Linked DNA regions of Kluyveromyces lactis. The protein of the gene in region 3 interacts with the protein of the main gene of each other region in a biochemical or structural test. Links are inferred from orthologs where the notes say so. Each region holds a gene or a part of one and is shown on either strand. Other genes may lie near its edges.

Region 1 (2,428 bases), on a different chromosome or scaffold from region 3:
AGCAAAATAAGTTTCTGAAATGGATATTTCCCAATTGACAAGAGTAAATCTGATTCGGGCTCATTTGCTGTTCGAGTAATTGAAATTATAGGCCCATCCGATTTGAACCATGTATATGCCTTGGGGCCCCCTCCATTATTGTTGCCAGTATCAAAAATCATTACTGAACCATTTCTGAATCCAATGAGGAATACATCCTGCCCAAGCAAGATACAGCTCATTGCGTCGCCGAATTTTTTCGGAAGTTTATTCTCTTTTGAAGTCTTCAATCGAGTTCCGTTATATTGAATCAACTGGTACGCTCGGGATGATAGAAACAGAAGATATGTATCTGTCTCATTTTCAAATGAGTTCACATCAATAACTTCAGGTAGTTTCAACTTTCCTCCTGCCATTATTTTCTCTGTGTTGAAATTGAAATCATTGAAGCGGTTTATACTGATGGTAAATTGGTCGCATGTTTTGAAGTACGTTACCGTTTCATGGGCGGATGAGTCTCTATTAAATGAAACTTTGAAGGAATCATCAGACTCATCGATAGATAATTCAAAGAGACGGAAACTTGCATCGTTCAGTATAATGGAGTGACCAGTTCGTCCCATTTGGATTTCACTGGGCCCCTGCTGAGAGATGAATGAGGGCAAAGTGTACGTAGTCGCCAGTTGAAGTGTTTTATTCTGAAACCTGAACCATTCGGGACGCGGTAGTGGATGGCCTTCTATGAGTGCATCTACGCATTTCACGTACTCTTTGTGTGCCACTGACCTGTTAAGACCATCTGGCAACTTTGATTCCTTTTTGTTCTTTCTATCACCAGCTTGTTCTTTGAAATATCTCTTCCTTACAGGATCATATGTCAAACCTGGCAACTGCGGCACGCTCATCTATAAAATATTTGGATGGTCACCACCAAGTGAAGGTCCTGCTTCACTAGGGAGTGGGCTATCTCTACTATATCTTCCTTTTTCTTCAAAGCTCATCACATTGGGATCAAACCTTATTTTCAATATTCAGTTAGATGCGAATATTTCAGTTATAACGCTTAGGAAGATTAGTCCTTTTTAAGGGAAACGCATCAATATTTCAGTTGTTGCGTGAACAGATACTGTTCTTTGTAATATGAATCTGGTGGCCCTTATGGTGACCAGTGAGCAATTAGATAACCGTAGCTTCTTTCGTCCTCTTTCCTTGTCGACCTTTTACGTTTTGATAGTAGTTATATGTATTTCGGTATGCAATGAAAAATCCAAATTTGAGAAAGAACTACTGATCCCAGAAGAAACCTTTTTATTTGAATAAAGGGCAGGCTTCGTACAACGGATATAAACTGGTACCACTCTGTATCAACTTCAAATTATCAATTTTCATAATCAATGCTCAAACTTCGAGCTCTAGCAGAGGCCAAGGCGAAAGCTAAGGAAGGGCAGGGACAAGAAACTACACCACAAGTCATCAAGCCATCATTGATAAGACTTAAGAAGGATTTAGAGAACATCGATCTCTCAGAACAGATATGTGAATATACTACATATTTAGATGAGAATCCAATGAGGGTCAATCTGGCAATTAAGCCAGATATCGGCTACTATGCTGGTGGGACATATTACTTCAATGTATTCATTAAGGATACTTACCCGATGGAACCACCAGTGGTGAAATGCATGCATAGGATATACCATCCTAATATCGATATAGATGGGAACGTGTGTTTGAATCTCCTTAGAGAGGACTGGACACCAGCATTAGATATTCAAAGTATCATCATCGGGATACTTTTCCTATTCCATGAACCAAATGGTAGGGATCCCTTGAATAAAGATGCAGCAAAGACGTTAATTGAAGATCCATTACGGTTCGAAAATAAGGTGAACCACAGCTTAAGAGGGAACAATATAGATGGAGTTTGGTATGATAAAATAATTTATTAATAGTTAAAATTATAATGTAATGACACATTTTTGTTCAACCAGAAAAGAGAAAGATATTCATTGCATTGTCTAACCTAAAAGAGAAGAGAGCATACACAGTATAGAAAAGTGAGTGAGTGATAGTAATTATATATAAGTAGGCGTGTGTGCGTGTGATTATTACTCAGACTCCGATTCTCAAGTAATAAAAAGGGGGAGGGTAAAAAAGAGTGTGATATGGGTAATATACCACATTAGCATAAAATAAGGTTCGAAGGAAAAAATTGACGGACTTCATCATCATAAAACAGATGTAAAGAAAAGTTACTTTATTCTTCCAAAAGCCAGTTTCGAAAGAACGCCGTAATTAAAAATCCAATTAAAAGAACAATGCGAAAACTTCTTCATCAGCTAAATAACGGTGTGAAACGAGTGTCAAATTTTAACCCAGAGAAGTGAAAGCTTTATGATTTGTGTAGAGGTAGCAGTCATAAGCAGAGAGGAAAATCTTATACTCTCAC
Region 2 (2,737 bases), on a different chromosome or scaffold from region 3:
CTTTGTCTTTCTTACAACCCCCTTATATCTCATATCCTGATGGAGGTCCAAAACCAGAAAAAACATTCCATAGATATTGCACACAGCACCGGCTAGGGTTACTGTCATCGAAAAGTGTTATTAAGTTATTAGTTACTTGATGCATCGTTAGTTGTTCACTTTCCAATATAATATCTGAGGGGCTGAAATGTAGATTCAGCGTTATGGTGAATTGAAAAAGGACAGTTTCCAGTTTTATGTTTGGTTATGACAATCATCATTTAGAGGTGCGAATGCTCCAAACAAAATCAATAAAGACGTTGAAGTTGTTACAGGTTCATGAATTTATACTGGAGGTCAAAATAGTATATCACTACAGTAGTAACCAAACTTCAACGTGTGTTTATAATTGTATATTGAAGTAGAAAGACAAGACAGTAGTGAGGAAAGAAATGTGAATGAATGTGATACGCTGAGAAGCACTGCTTCTGAGGGAATAAAAAAGTTGTAAGGGATTCATATCATTTCATTTCTGCATCTTCTAACTCCTCGCTTTCTTCCATTAATTTACTTCTTCTATCCATTACGCTTTCATCTAGAGAATCTTCTGCTTCTTCAGGCACCAGATCTTCATCTTCATCTGAGTCGATATCGTTTTTGTTAGCTTTTTTGCTGAAATTCAAGTTTGAAGAATCTTTGCTGAAAACATCGTCATTATCCTCTTCATCTTCTGAATCCTCGTATGCATAGATATCCACATCTTCATCACCTTCGTCACTGTCGTACCAGAAATTATCGGCAACGGTTTCTTTGATGGTGTCAATACCTTCATTTGCCTTTCTTTGGGAAACATACGCCTTTGTTGATTCTGGCATCACGAACCCTTGCGGGATATCCTGTTTTGATCTTTCCACTTCGAGTTTTACCTTTTGTTTGTACTGATCCGGATTCTTCTTGTAGTCAACAGCAGCGTCGACGTTAGCTGGAGAGGAAATATTTGGATCTTCTAACAAGGAGACAATAGAAATCAACACTGATTCCACAGTCTGTACTGGAGACCAAGTTTCTTCATCGGGCTCATCCGAGGTGGGGTTCCCCGATTGGTGTAAGATAGAAATACACAACCTACCATCACGGTAAACGTTCGGGTGGTAAATTGCTGGAGTAAATCTAAAAGTTGGAGGAGAAAATGGGAAATCGTCCGGGAATTTCATTTGAGCCTTGAAATAACCTCCGTGGTAGATGGATTCCTCATTTAAGACCATTACACCGATGTTCCACAAGAATATGTTTGAATCATCTTCTAATGCAATATGGAAACTAGGAATAGCCTTCTTCGGATCAGTGAGTTCCCTGTATTGTCGTAATAACAAAGAAGCTGCAGTATTCTTGCCGCTCATACTTTAGAAAGAGTATTTCTATGGTAAAAAGATGTTCTGTGTGCTGATTGAAACTTCCCCCTTTTTCCAAAACTGATATATCCAGACCAAGAAAGTTCAGTTATTAGGGCTGACGATTAGAAGTAACTGTTGCTTGGTGTTCCTCAGTGATAAGATATCTCCGAGTAAATTTGACAATAATATGTTGCTAGAACTTAACAAAAACGTTAGGAAGAGAAAGAAAAAAGTAATGAAACGTAAAGCCAAACAAAAGATAGGACAATACAATATACCAACTGAGTAGTGTGAGTTTTTGCGTTTGTACAAGTATACCCGCCCAAAAGTCTATGCAACCTCTCCTTATCACCTGTTTATTGATACTCTCATTTAAATGCAAATACAATAATTTGTAATTAAAATTAATAGTTGTCTGTGTTTTGACCTTTTAAATTTCTTCTGAAACTGGTTTACAAAAAAGAACCAAGCTGAATGCCGAAAAGTCAAGAAAAACCGTCCCAAGACAAAATAAGCAAAAACCGTTGGGTTGTGTACTCTTGGAAGATACCGTTCTATTGTTCAGGTTGGGGGTTTAATCGATATTTATACTATAGCTATATGTCTCTATATTTTTTACCGTCTTGTAAGCTTTTCGTCCCCAGGCATTATTCATGTTGATTTGCACAACCAGGTATGCGTTAATAATCCATGGATGAAAGTAACAGTATTTAAGGCATCAACATTTACGCATGAATGTTTATTTTCCAATTGATGGGGAATGCGGGGGCCAATTACATCAATTTTTTCGAATGTATCTAATGCATCCGGCAAAATATCACTTCTACCGCATCGTTGTGAGAGCGTGCATTTTAACTGATAAGCTGAACACTAGGATTAAATGTGAATCGGAGAACTCTGGTAGTCAGTTGTTACGTTCAAGATTCTTATTTATACTCTAGACTAGTTCTTCATCGGGCAGTAGTATATTCTGCTCGGCGTCAGCAAACGTTAGACTCGCCGCTTTCACCGATAGGAACAGTGGAAAAGTTCACGTGACCTTAGGTCACGTGAACACCAATCACCATCTCCTTCTTTTCTCATTCTCGTAAGGTTTTCCGAACTGAGCCATAGGGCAATAACGCTCATCAAGTCTGAATCGTACCATTTTGAACTATACAGCACTTCACCATAGCTCAACAGGCCTAATTCCCTTACATATTCACCTCAAGGTGGATGTTTTGCTGAGATCCTGCCGTCCTCACATTCGGAACGTTATAAGATTTGTATCTCGCGACGGCGTGTTGGAGTTGCAACTCGATGCTATATGTTTTCTCGTCTGCGCGCTTTTCTTTGTGTGCCGAAATTTGTTTTCGTCCAAAGTA
Region 3 (2,092 bases):
TTTTAGAGATCGCCTTAACAACTGGTATGCTGGGATATATATCACAGTTGAGCCAGCTTGGATTCCACTTCATCACAGACTTTATTGATGTGTTCCATTTCCTTGCGTTTATGTTCCAATTGTTCTTCAAATAACATGATTAGCGATTCACGACTTTGGTGCGGTCTATATTCGTTAAGAAGATGGTGAATATTGATGGCTATCACCCTTATCTCGTCAAGTTTTTTCTCATATCTACTTGAATCCACTCCCAATATTCCTATAAGCTCTAGGAAATTTAGTAATAGTGATTTCATTAGTTTTTTCGACTCTTGGATCTTGTTCTCGTAATTTGTCCCACTTTGCGAATCTTGAGGACTAGGTTCAACTTCTGTTGTGGTCCCGTTTTCCAATTCCGTGACAGATTCCCGTTTCCTATATAATTGTTCAATTCCCATCTGTGATAACTCCGGTAGTTCATCCTTAATTTTCCATACATTACCAAATGCTCTGTATGAACCATCCCTGGGTAGTTCTGGCTTCACAAAATATTTCAACTGCTCCCTCTGTTTTGTTGTACATTTCGCTAGTTTTTCTTCATCTTTGCCACATTCTCTAAATAGTTTTGAGTTCTCTTCGGTGAAAAATTGAATGAACGGTGGTGGTGGAGGATACAATGATGATACTTCGTTCTTGTCACTCATGGTCCTTTATATTTTAGCTTCTGACTGGCAGTATTGTCTCTCACTTTCACAATCACTTTCAAAAAAATCTTTTATTGAGAGGGATTTCAATACTTTAAAGGACGGTCGAGGTTCCAGTTTATCTTGAATCTGGACAGATTATGGCCACGGAGGTCTAACACAGGTCTGATATCGCCAACACGCTTTCCTGTGTTCACTGATTTATCACTTGTTTCTGTTTGTGCTGGTTACTATAAGTTGGATTTCCATTTCATGTACAATTTCACATCCGGGTAACAAATGTTTGTATTCACGTGATATGAATATCACTCTTGTCTCTCTTTCAACATGAATTCTAATGTTTCTGAACGTTTGGGCAGTTACGAAAGTCCATAGATCCCATTATAGTCCACAGGGTATATCTTTTGTCATTCATAAGACTACTCTATTCGATCATTAATAGTTTAAAAAAAGGTTTTCACACCCGCGTTTCCAAGGATTGAACGACAGTTAGACCTGGGACTTAGAACGTCTGTTTGTAATCTGTTTTAAAGAAGGAAGGATTTATATTTACCAATAGTAGCTGATCGTTAGGAGATGGCCACGGATTTGGGACCAATAGAGGCACAGAGCGGGACAGAGGGTGCTACTGAGTCAAAGCCCAATTTTGAGATAACGAAATGGACAGCGGTAGCTTTTTGGTCATGGGATATTGACGTTGATAATTGTGCCATTTGCAGAAATCATATTATGGAACCATGTGTAAATTGTCAGCAGGAAGCAACTTTCAACTCGGAGCATGAATGTGTAGCCGCCTGGGGTGAGTGCAACCACGCATTCCACCTACATTGTATTACCCAATGGATCAAGAGCAGAAATGTTTGTCCGTTGGATAATAAACCTTGGAAATTGGCTCGGTGTGGCAAGTGAAGATAGAGTGTTAAGCCTACAAAGATGCATTATCGAAATTTAATATCGCTATTGGACTGTTCGAACCGCAAAAAATGTTACTCAATTTAGATTTCCAATGATTTAATACCAAGCGGATAGTGTGGATTTAATATCTACCATTGGGAAGAAGCTTAGATAATCTGGCTTCTGTGTATATATAGTTACGTAACGAGCTTCTAATGGAATTATCGACAGGTTCGATCGGTCCCAAAACAATAGACAGGACAGCGTTGTTCCATGAATACAACTAGGATGCGTACATTCCTCTTCGATTGCTTCGTTTTTAAGATCAGTATTTGCATTTTGTTTCTAAACATAATGCATATATCATGGGATTTGGTAATACAGTGCGTTTCGGTAGAATTTACCCCAGTGAATCCATTTTGCGCAGTTTTCGTCAAACCTTTTCGCCAGAAGTTCGTAATCAGTACCGTAATTGCCATAAAACTCAATAAAGAAGCAATATTGCCATTTTCTTT
Region 4 (2,720 bases), on a different chromosome or scaffold from region 3:
TGCTCCAGCCTGCGCTTGGGCCTGCTGCTGCCTCTGTTTACTGTAAGCCTCGTACAAAGCCTTAATACGGGCCGCTTGTCTCAATAGCTCTTTCCCTTCCTTGGTATCTACACCAATTCGCTTAGCTTCGTTAACTAACGATTTTAGTCTATCCGCCAATTGCTGCATAGAAGCTGGCGTGAGGTTCTGCAGCTGTACATTACCTGCTTGGCCTGACATTGTCCGTATCTTGGTTCGTAATCCGAAATGCACACCGCAAGCCCACTTTAAGTGTCGAAATACCCTCGTGCTGGCCTTCTTTGCCCCCGTTTTGCCCTTGCTTTAACCTCGCGGCAACTACTTTCGATTGTTATTCACTTGTTGATCTTTGAAATATTTTTGAATTTTGATGCTGAAAGGAATAGGAAGACAAGTGTTACCCTGACAACATACACAATGCGTATATATGAATATATGTATCTATGAATATGTTCATAAGCGATATAGGTGTTTGCGCTGCATCACAGCTTGTCATTTTCTTCCAAGAATTCGTAATATTCGTCTATAAGTAGCGGCCAAGCAGCCATTTCATCATAGTTTTGTTTTAAACTTTCGTCATTGGGGTATTGTTCAATGAACTTATAGAACATCAACCATATATCGTTTGAGATGTTCTGTTTCCTTGGATCCGAGTCGTCAGAATTGATGAATTCAAGCCATGAATTAAGTCTCTCCTTGGAGATTTTCAACGCATATTTATTGTCTTTAAAGAAAATATTCCAGTATTCTATTGCGACATCTTTAGGTAAATGACGAGATCCCTCGTCTGTATTCAATGGGAAAGTGTAGGAATAGATTGATTTGAAATAATCTTTGTCCGTCTCCAGTCTCTCTTCTAGCGTATGTAAATAGGCTTTCATCTTTCTTAAAGTGTCGCAACATAAATCTGACCAGGCATTTAGGAATTGTTCTCGAGATACTGGTTTTGTTAAATCGTCGATGCATAGCATTTGAGAAAGACATAGCGTGATTGGGTCCTCTATCGATATACCGAGGTCTTCAATAAACCGTATTAGCCCAGAAGAGTCCCATTCTGTTGCCGAAACGCCATTCGAGTACTTCTCAAAGATAGCCACTAAACTGGGATTGTAAGATTGACGCATACCTCCAATGGTATCCACATTATCATAATAATCGTTCAAAGCGTACTCGACACGCCCTCCATTCTTTCGAAGGTATTCCTGTGCAACAGAGTACGTGCATCCTGTGAGGTTCATGAACTCTTTCTCCTATTTTTCCAAATGATTATTTGATTAGCATTTGTTAGTAAAGGTGTCATTCACCTGACCAGAGGGTAGAGGCATAGTAAAAAACATACCATTATAAAAACACAATACGATGAAATTTCTGAAGGGTTGTTATCCACGAGTAAATGATCGCTTGCTCTGGCGTTTTGTCGCGAGTAGATTGCTTTCTTCTTTACCCTAAAACTCGAAACGAATATGAAGTAAAACATGTAATTTCACTTAAAATGAACTTGTCTGTATATTTAAAATATGTCAACAAACGTAATGGTCATAGTGAAAAGTGATGAGAAGCAGGACTAAAGGGACCCAGCACCGTTGACCGAATGACTAAGACTGATGACGAACTTAAATTACTTCATGAGAAAATTCTACTTAACCTAGCTTCGAATTTAGAAGAAGAGGTAGATATGGTTCTTGCGTGGCTCAATCCCACATTCCAACCACAAATACCGACATTACGAATTAAACAATGTTTGAAAGTTGTGTTAGAGCAGAGCGATGAAAGAACGCGGTTTCTCATCGAGCAGTACTACCTCACGCTTATACGAACGCATTTCTTCTTACAATTTGATGATATAGTCAACTGGAAGGATATGATCAAGCTAGAGAAACTATACATATCTAAGGTCGAATTCATGTTTGGAACGTCAGTATACTGGATAAAGGAGGAGATGATTTCATTCAAACGGTTGTTGATGAAAAAGAATAATGAATTCAGGAAACAATTGCATGCGAAATTAGAGTCACATATTCTCGATAATGATCTAGTTAGGTTTGATCAAATGTATCAATGGTTGGCACCGGCATTTGATGGACAAGAGATTGAGTTCAATGTTAGGATAATAAACCTAAAAGTAGATCAGATGTCACAGAAACTAATGAAAAATAAGATTGACGATCGATACTTAGTAATGAACACTTATAACCATTTCATCAAAGATTTTTGGTCCAAGTTCTCCAAGTTGTTGATTATAGAAGATGATCATGAATTGACAGCCATAATATATCAATCTTTCGAGAAAAACTATATCAAATATAAATGCGACGAGTTTTATACGGATATTGTACCGAAATTTCCTGCTTCGAGGAAATGCTTGCTTGAATTGAGGAGCATCCTGAATAAAGACATAAAAACTGTCGGCACAAAAGTGCTTGAGACCTTATATCACGGATTTGTATCAAGGTTTCTCACCTCAAGTCTTTTAACTTGCGAAATACTGTATTATTACATTAAGACGGTGAAATGTTTAAAGATAATTGATCCGATGGGCATTTGTCTCCGATCGCTATCAAAGGCGGTAAGAGTATATTTGAATCCAAGACCGGATATTATAAAAACGCTACTACTCGGGATATTTCCATTCCAAAATAATGAACGGTTCAAAATTGCATCATCAACTGATGGTAGTTCCGTACATCTTGAAAAGTTAGAGC
Region 5 (3,895 bases), on a different chromosome or scaffold from region 3:
CCAAGACGCTATGCTTGAGTAGGCACTGGAATGTTGCAAGAATAGGTGGACAAAATCGAAAGAGGTACTTATATTGTGTAAATTTGACATTTTTTTCAATGTGCAACTTACTTTTTTCCTCATCGCAAAACACACCCGATTAATTCCTTGGCATAATTTTCCACACCTAGGGATGACCCTATCTTGATAAGAAGACATAGATAGGTAAATGTTGAGAACTGTATATGTCTGGTATAGTAGTCGACTGTATCCACCAGTACTGGGGTGGCTGAAAAGTTTGTAACACGTAGAAATAGTATTGAAACTCCTATATATGTCTTAGGGATAGGTGATGCCGTAGATAAATTAATCATACAACTTTTTTATGTCTGCTGGCATTGAAGAGAAGAGAAGAGAACAAAGATACAGAGGATTGGTATTACAGAGTTTATTTGATGGTAGAATATTTCCATACGGCGAGATACCAGATGTGGTAATGCAAGTTAAATTGATAGTTAATGTTAAAGAGTGGAAGACCAAAGTGACGTTCGATATATTTGATGGTCGACTCTTGTTCTAGTCCGGGTTCTGATAGTCTTGTCACCATTCCGAGCAGCAAAATCCAAGATTTCTACGTAACTGTGTCCCACTGACTCGATCGCAGCGACTAATTTTCTGTTATTTAATTTGATACCCCACACTTGTTCCGAATCTGTGAGTAGCTTCCTGTGTATCAGCTTACCGGTCCTTAAATTATATACATTGAATTGTCGTTCCGATCCACTAACCAAAATGTTATCGTTCATGGAGAATGAAGTGATAGCAGCCAGGTTTGTATGATGGAACGAAAACTTTCTTGAATAATCATTTGGATCCCAGCCGCGTATCGAACCGTCTGCAGCAGCGCTAACCAAAAATTTATTGGATAGGCAAAGTAGACCAACTAAAGCTGTATGTCCATAAAGGCATTTCATGCTTCCAACCACTTTGATCGATGCACCGTCATTGATTGTAGTAGTTGTCCCATTATTTTCAATGTTTTCGAGATCCCAGATCATCACTGTGGTATCCATACTTGCTGATATGCACCTGTTCCTCTTGTAGTCATAAATGGTCGAGTACACACGGTCGGTGTGACCGGTTAGAATATATAGTAATTTCATACTAATGATATCCCATACCATCAAATTGTGGTCATATGAACCACTTATGACAATTCTACCATGACCAGACACTGTCCTTACCGAAGACATGTGGCCTCTTAATACCCCAACAAAATATGGGTTTTCCTCTGGTGTCCTGTAGAAAATAGGTTCCTGCGATCCCTTGTCTAGCTCTTTCATGGGGGGAAGTTTCCACACATGCAAGGTATTGTCTCTAGACCCCGTTACAATGTATTTGCTGTCACCATATTCAACCACTTCTAAACATCTAACCGTCGATGTGTGTCCTTTGAAAACATGGGTACATTTACCAGTTTCGATGTTCCAGATTCTCACACTTCTATCTGTGGAACCACTAACTAAAATCTTACCGTCCACAAATTTCAGTGCCCACACACCGCCCTCATGTCCGTTTAATTCTAATAGGAACAGATCATTCTCAGCGTCATACACGTTGATCTTCTTATCGTCTGCTCCGGTAATAATATAATTGTTTTCAAATTGTAGACATGTTACAACATTGGTACTATGACCATCAAGACAAGTCCTCCCTGGTTTATAGTTTGGATCGTACCAGTTCTGGAGACACCAGTTGTTCTCCAGGAAATCTAATCTAAATCTGTCGTCAGGGTTGATCAAATGCTTATATTTACTGGGCAAACTGTTACAGTACGACGGGAACTGATCTTCGGTGACAAAACCTTCGTTAAGCATTAGCCATTTCCAAACAACAGGCGCCTCCTCGATTAACCTATTCCAATTTCTGTTAACCAACAAACATGCGAAGATGTCTTCCGAAGATAAATTTAATAGGATCTTCACAGTGATTTCATTAGGTAGTGATTGGAACAAATCTCGTTTCAAGTTATCGGTTATTATACTGACCAAATCTGAAAGCTGAGTTCTATCCATGTTGGAAACAAGCCCAAATATAAGACTTGTTAAAGCATTTGGATGAGATGTCGTACTGCTGAGTCTAGCTACTGTAGTCCCTATGACTTCGTCAATACTTGGTTCCTCCACTTCAGGTGTGTGACATGGGGAAGCAATCGGCGATATTGGTAACGGCCCATCTTGATCCTCGATCAAGTTGGGACTGGAAACAGCCTGCTGATTTGGCTTTAACTTTTTGTGATACTGACCGTCGCTGTCAGAATCGTCGTCAAGCTGTTGAAGGGGATAATGTATACTTCGTTTACTCTGAGACGCTGGCTGAGGATGAAGTTGGTACCGGTATGGAACGGGAACATTCTGTAGAGGATACTGTGGTACCCCTGGGGTCGCATGCCTATTGAGATCCATGTTACTTATACCCTTAACTAATGGAAGTTACTTACGACTACCCCACACCTGCCGTTACTCCTTATCTTTCTGCTAAACAATATTCCGTCTGTCAGTCAATATGTTGATGTGACTTCGTTTTGTACAAAGAAATCGTACAAGAGTTTAATTTTGATTTTGGTTGAGAGTGCCGATAACAGTGCAAATAAACATAGATTTGTTGAATCAATGTTATCAGTCCCTATATCTATGCGAGATACTCTCGCCATCTATTAGTTAGCTATTAAACGCTTTGAGGCTAATATATTAAGCTAAACCATTCTATCTTTTAGACCTACATAGGTATTTACCTTGCATGCAACACAGGTCACGTGTTAGAATGTAATTATTACCAGAGCAGCGATCTCGGTTGTAATGGTGATATACGATACTGACAGGACAAAAATGCCTTGAAGCTGTTCCTAGTTAATCTACCGATTTTTTTGGTTAATTCCCGGCGCAAACACTATGTAGTTGGCTGCTTATTACGGGTTAAGATGTGGGGGTTTGAGTCGTCTTTTCTTGTTTGAATGTGATTTCCAATTTGCATAAAAGACGATCGAATGAAACATCTGACTAGATTTACATATGATATGAATAGAAGTTTCATAAATTTGAACAACAGGAAATAGGCAGCCACGGCCGAGGTTTAGTTAATTGAGAAAGCAGAATATTGGAGCATGTCAGTTTGTATAGTTGGTGCCGGTGTTATTGGTTTGTCAAGTGCGCTGAGACTACTGGAAACAAGACCCGATATCAGGACTATAACAATTGTATCCGAACAATTCCCGCAAGATCAGCCAATCAATCATACGTTCACATCACCATGGGCAGGTGCTCATTTTAGACCATTCCCACACAGAGATTCTGATTATGCTTCGGATAAACGTGAGAGTGAATATACCAGAGTGACTTATAACTATTTCAAACGTAAATCTAAGCAGTGGTTGAGTGAGGCCACTGTTGAATTCATGAACGGGATCGATTGGTTAGAAAATCCGAGCATCGAATACCAACGCTTAGGAGCAGGGTATAATGGATCCAGCTTGGAAAAATTCCAACAGCAAGATTCCAACTTGCCTGCAGGTGTCACTTTCGGTTGTAGCTATGAAACGTGGTGTTTGAATGCTCCATTGTATTTACTGTTCCTTTACGACCAGGTAATGAAAAAGAGTGAGCAACAGAACGTTAACATTAGAGTAAAGAGAATCAAGCTTGAGAAATTAAAAGATATTTGCGAGCTTTACCCTGATGTTAATATTGTGGTCAATGCTTCAGGTTGTGGGTTACAATGGGAAGGAGGTTTAGATCCTAAATGTTTCCTTGTCAGAGGTCAAACTTTATTACTTGATGTTGGTGACAAGCATGACACCATACCATATGCACATGCGACTATCACACATCAAGCAAAGAGTGGTGACTGGACCTTCGTC
Region 6 (4,290 bases), on a different chromosome or scaffold from region 3:
ATGACCAATTTTCGTGAATATTCCTGTGGATTTTAAATCCGATGAACGTAGATTTTTGCAGCAGGTATTGACAAACACCTTCCGAATGATGCTAAGGTAGTCACTGAGAGTAGTGAGAGCAGCAAGAGAGCAGAGAGGGCTACCCAAGCATTTAGGTTTGGCTATTGAGTAATGAATAGTATACTCGTCGGTCCTTTCATGATGTCTCTCTTTTTTTCTTGGGAATATTCATGCTTGAAAATATGGGGCCCAAGGTTGACCTTTGGTCGAATGGTCGAATGGTTGCGAAATATATGTTGATACATATACATTTCTTATACATATGTATGGCGAAGTAAAAGGTGGATAAAAAAGTGAGCGTTTACGCTAGATATTCATAGCATTCACCGTCGTCTGTCCTTTTCAAATACTCTTGTTCTATTAGATTGTCGACAGCTTTTTTGATCATGGACACCTTGGCGTTGAATCTCTGTTGAGATTCGGCAATACACTCGTTCATCAATGAACTGTGTGGTAGTTTTCTCTTTGCCTTCATAATTCTCACTATGCATGCTCTTAAGAACATCAATCTTTGTTGATTTAGTTCCTTTTCTGCTTTCTTTTGCTCAGATGCCTCTGTTTCATCTAATGCAGATCCATTAACGGTTGCAGTAAAGGTTAGATCATTTTTCACAGCGGCTGCAAAATTAACACTAGTTTTCGATAATCGATAGGGTTTGTTTAAGGTGTACTTTGTATCTAACTTGATCATACTTTCCACCCCTTCTGGAGATTGTATTAATAGTTTCATCTTCACAAACGGATACATATTAGACGCAATCTGTGTAGCCTTCAAATTGGTTCTCTCTTGTATTTGTTCAAAGGTCAACGTAGATATATCATTAAACAAGGTAAGAATCGCCATTTGGAAAATAGTCACAGTGAATTGGAATGGTGGTTTGCCTGGTTTACCAATATGTGCCTTGATTTCACCACGAGACATTGGCCATAGCCATTTCAATATTCTACCAGAATGCTTGTCAGTATACATGGTTTCCAATTTGTTCTTACTATGTTCAAGAACTGGTGGTAATGCGAATTCTGTTGGTTGATAGCTGAAGGGCCATACATTGTCTGCAAGAATTAGAGGTTCTAATTCAGGAACTTTGCTTCTGAAAGTTGCGGCGCTAGTAGTATTATTCCCATCTTGTGAAATGAACGTGGAAAATTCATCATGCAAGTTTTTAGATAATTTGACATCTTGTAGCATCTTGGTAATCTTGCTGGTGTATTCAAGACTGTTCTCGGACTGTAGTCTTTGGATAATGATTTCTTCATCAGCTTCTGATTTTGATGATCCATGAATTAATCTTTTTGCTAAATTTTTTCGGTAATGCATCTCAAATGCATCCTTGTCGGCCAAGAACTTAAAGACAGTCATGATATCATCCACGGTCAAATCTACCTGTTCATTATTCTTGGTCGACTTTTTGAGCAACTGGTCACTGTATTTCGCCAACATCTCAGGAGCTCTAGAAGTCGCAAATTTAGGTGAACCAGGAGGAATAGCGAATGAGTTATTGTTAATGAAGCAACGGCATCCATAGTCTAAAGCCTTAGCAAAAGCAGGATGATTTTCAAAACATTCTATGGTGATATTGTAAAAGAGTTTGTAAACTCCTATTAAACATTTCAAGTAATCTCTAGGTGATAATCCCGGTTGCCTTTTAGCGTTTGAATCTTGTGCTGCACTCTTATTATGTGCATCAATTAATTTATCGATTTCTTCATTTCCGACTCTCTTGATGTACATATCAAAAGTATCCACCAAATCTGGTAACATTCGGTAATCGCGTTTCATCAATTCGTATATGAGCTTAATCAATCTTTGATCTTGCTTATCCAAAAGTAAAATAAACTCTTTTTTTAACTTATCGGCATGATCAGCAATCAAAACTTGGTTCAAAGCTGTAGACAATGGTGCCGATGTATGGGAATCCAAATATAAAATCATGTCCTTTTCTTCGAAGATTATGCATTCATTTGCCTTTTCGATGTATTCAGAGACACTGTGAGAGTCTAAGAATTCGTTGGACATCTTCGTGTAGTATTCTTTTGTCTTCTGTAGGAATGGCTGTTCGAAGTTTTGAATATACACATTCAAATTCAACTTCTTTAAGTCTGATGGATCGATACCTAATATCACAAAGGATTTTATTGCTATTGTAATAGCAGATTTATTCACTAATTCACCCCTCCGCTGCAAATCCAATTGATCGAATATTTCAGTAACGAGTTCCGTCTTATGTGTTTCAAACATAACTTCTTTCCACGTCATCAAGCACAAAGTATGTGCATCGAAAATGTGTCTTTTACCATCGCTTCTTTCCTTTTGCACCCAGTAACGGTTCATATAGTCGAAGACCCGATTTAAGAAAATAGCTCCGATTGTAAATCTTTCCCAGCGTCTCACGTAGAAATTCAAAAACGTTACATTATCATCTTTCTTTAAATTCGATATGTAATCTTTCAAATAATTCTTTAAGTTCTCATAGATTTCTCCTCCAACAAGAATCGAAGATTGATTCATTTGCTTCCCTATAATATCAGATTGGAAATGACCTGTAGAACGTGACTTGTTGACACAGTAATTATAAATCGCCGTGTATACCTCCATGTACATCCTTGGGGAAAGAACTTTCTGAACTCTGTTTGTCTTTATATCCGATGTACCATCACGATCCAAGATCTGGTCGATCCCAGGCTTCACAAAGTTCCATGTTGCTTCCAAATCATCTGATCTAGGTAATGTGTCTGCCATAGCTTATTAGACTTGTTTCTTATTGATTGCACGTGTAGTTTCTTTTACCAGTAATATTTCTATTGAACGATGCCTAAGTTATCTTTTCTGAAGCGTTAATGAGACTTGCTTCCCACTAACCCAGTTAAATATACGCTTTAGAATAATAGTATTCCCAAGGGCGCAGGTAGCGGTACTTGTAAATAAAGATTTGGTAGTAAACTGAAATCAGCAGCGATAGAAAATACAGTTCGAGTCCCAATTAGTCGAGCAACCCTTTTCAATGAATCGAAAGAAAGGATAAAACAGAATAGAAAGCGCCTTCACTGCTAAATATGAAATGCACCACTTGTTGGCGGGATCCTATAAAAAAGGGTCACACAGGAAAACTTTATATTGCTTCTATCGTGAAGTATCTCCGAGTTGTTCGATATTTTGACCCTTTTTGACAGCCTTACTTGTTATATACTGATTTATATAATTGCATACTATGTTACTATAATTTCTTATATTTTTGTTTTCGTTTGCCACACATTATTGGAATATCAAAAAATCCTGAATTGTTCCTCAATATGAATCTGATCTTATTATTAAAGTACTTAAAAGAGGGTAAGGATTACAGCTTTCGGCAAATATACTTTAGCATACTGCAGTCGTCTAATTATGTTGTTTAATACAGGGCCCAAACTTATATGTTTATAAGGTTTTCTTTGGTACTTTTGATTTTCTTTTGTTGGGTTTGTAAACAAATTATGTACTCTCATGGAATAATGATTTATTTAAAACAATTAATCTACAGGCGTCTTAAGTCGGAAGGGCCCGTTTCAAGAATAGTCTTAGGGTCTTGGAGCACCAGAACTGACTCTTTCCACGACCCTTAATATGCTAATACTGAACGTTACAACCCAAGTGACCAAGACCAAGAAAAGGAACGCCGCGAGCGCCCTTTGTTTGTCACATATATATCCTACGTGCGGAGGATCAACTTGTGACGTTCCAGTAGATGTGCAGACCCATCGATTATCATATAATGTATTGAAGGTAAGCGATAAATTAGCACTTGAAAATATGATGAATAAAAGGTCCAGCATAATTAGTCTGACTTTAGTCATAGGATCTCTAATTCCTAGCGGTTTCCCTGAAAATTCGTCATATCCGATATAAACCAAATATAATATAGCGATGGAATTAACACATAGCGCCATGATAGTACTTGGTTGTTGAGGTATTGATGATTCGAAGGATTCGACAGTGGAATCCGAGTTCTGGTATATTCTACTTGCTAGGCCAAGAGAGATTATGCAGAGTATCACAATGAGAAATCTCAACGACAAAGGTAGATATTGACTTTGCAATAAAAGTCTTCGTAGTCTTGGTAACCATTGTTGTTTTTTTCTTTGTTCAAGGGTAGCCCAAGAGTTTTTCTTACTATTCACACTATTTCTCCCCTTGTTTAAAATAGAATGAAACCTCCCATCGTCACTTGAATGAGTTTCCGAAGATTGTTTCGC

Evidence for each region.
Region 1: the proteins of HRT1 (region 3) and UBC12 form a complex in vitro, tested with the Saccharomyces cerevisiae proteins (2 studies listed by BioGRID). The link is inferred for Kluyveromyces lactis from reciprocal best matches to the Saccharomyces cerevisiae genes HRT1 and UBC12.
Region 2: the proteins of HRT1 (region 3) and CDC34 form a complex in vitro, tested with the Saccharomyces cerevisiae proteins (21 studies listed by BioGRID, with this or other methods). The link is inferred for Kluyveromyces lactis from reciprocal best matches to the Saccharomyces cerevisiae genes HRT1 and CDC34.
Region 4: the proteins of HRT1 (region 3) and DCN1 form a complex in vitro, tested with the Saccharomyces cerevisiae proteins (2 studies listed by BioGRID). The link is inferred for Kluyveromyces lactis from reciprocal best matches to the Saccharomyces cerevisiae genes HRT1 and DCN1.
Region 5: the proteins of HRT1 (region 3) and CDC4 form a complex in vitro, tested with the Saccharomyces cerevisiae proteins (2 studies listed by BioGRID). The link is inferred for Kluyveromyces lactis from reciprocal best matches to the Saccharomyces cerevisiae genes HRT1 and CDC4.
Region 6: the proteins of HRT1 (region 3) and CDC53 form a complex in vitro, tested with the Saccharomyces cerevisiae proteins (5 studies listed by BioGRID, with this or other methods). The link is inferred for Kluyveromyces lactis from reciprocal best matches to the Saccharomyces cerevisiae genes HRT1 and CDC53.

Annotation. Positions count from the first base shown.
Region 1 is NC_006039.1:1,509,385-1,511,812, reverse strand, and holds UBC12 (NEDD8-conjugating protein UBC12), read left to right. Parts: upstream 1-1,373; coding exon 1,374-1,928; downstream 1,929-2,428. Other genes in the region: KLLA0_C17270g (uncharacterized protein), read right to left, coding at 1-884; DPA10 (Dpa10p), read right to left, coding at 2,417-2,428. UniProt on the Saccharomyces cerevisiae protein: Accepts the ubiquitin-like protein NEDD8/RUB1 from the UBA3-ULA1 E1 complex and catalyzes its covalent attachment to other proteins. The major substrate is CDC53/Cullin.
Region 2 is NC_006040.1:771,437-774,173, reverse strand, and holds CDC34 (SCF E2 ubiquitin-protein ligase catalytic subunit CDC34), read right to left. Parts: upstream 1,380-2,737; coding exon 501-1,379; downstream 1-500. UniProt on the Saccharomyces cerevisiae protein: Catalyzes the covalent attachment of ubiquitin to other proteins. Capable, in vitro, to ubiquitinate histone H2A. Mediates the initiation of DNA replication (transition of G1 to S phase in cell cycle).
Region 3 is NC_006041.1:650,215-652,306, forward strand, and holds HRT1 (SCF ubiquitin ligase complex subunit HRT1), read left to right. Parts: upstream 1-1,259; coding exon 1,260-1,592; downstream 1,593-2,092. Other genes in the region: mediator complex subunit MED7, read right to left, coding at 42-683; prephenate dehydratase PHA2, read right to left, coding at 1,941-2,092. UniProt on the Saccharomyces cerevisiae protein: Core component of multiple cullin-RING-based E3 ubiquitin-protein ligase complexes (CRLs), which mediate the ubiquitination of target proteins.
Region 4 is NC_006040.1:1,374,428-1,377,147, reverse strand, and holds DCN1 (NEDD8 ligase DCN1), read right to left. Parts: upstream 1,496-2,720; coding exon 1,358-1,495; intron 1,269-1,357; coding exon 501-1,268; downstream 1-500. Other genes in the region: TAF12 (Taf12p), read right to left, coding at 1-219; APC2 (anaphase promoting complex subunit 2), read left to right, coding at 1,610-2,720. UniProt on the Saccharomyces cerevisiae protein: Required for neddylation of cullin components of SCF-type E3 ubiquitin ligase complexes. Neddylation of cullins play an essential role in the regulation of SCF-type complexes activity.
Region 5 is NC_006040.1:647,484-651,378, forward strand, and holds CDC4 (SCF ubiquitin ligase complex subunit CDC4), read right to left. Parts: upstream 2,445-3,895; coding exon 501-2,444; downstream 1-500. Other genes in the region: KLLA0_D07568g (FAD-dependent oxidoreductase), read left to right, coding at 3,143-3,895. UniProt on the Saccharomyces cerevisiae protein: Substrate recognition component of a SCF (SKP1-CUL1-F-box protein) E3 ubiquitin-protein ligase complex which mediates the ubiquitination and subsequent proteasomal degradation of target proteins. Recognizes and binds to phosphorylated target proteins.
Region 6 is NC_006042.1:536,431-540,720, reverse strand, and holds CDC53 (cullin CDC53), read right to left. Parts: upstream 2,801-4,290; coding exon 362-2,800; downstream 1-361. Other genes in the region: SRF1 (phospholipase D regulator), read right to left, coding at 3,616-4,290. UniProt on the Saccharomyces cerevisiae protein: Core component of multiple cullin-RING-based SCF (SKP1-CUL1-F-box) E3 ubiquitin-protein ligase complexes which mediate the ubiquitination and subsequent proteasomal degradation of target proteins.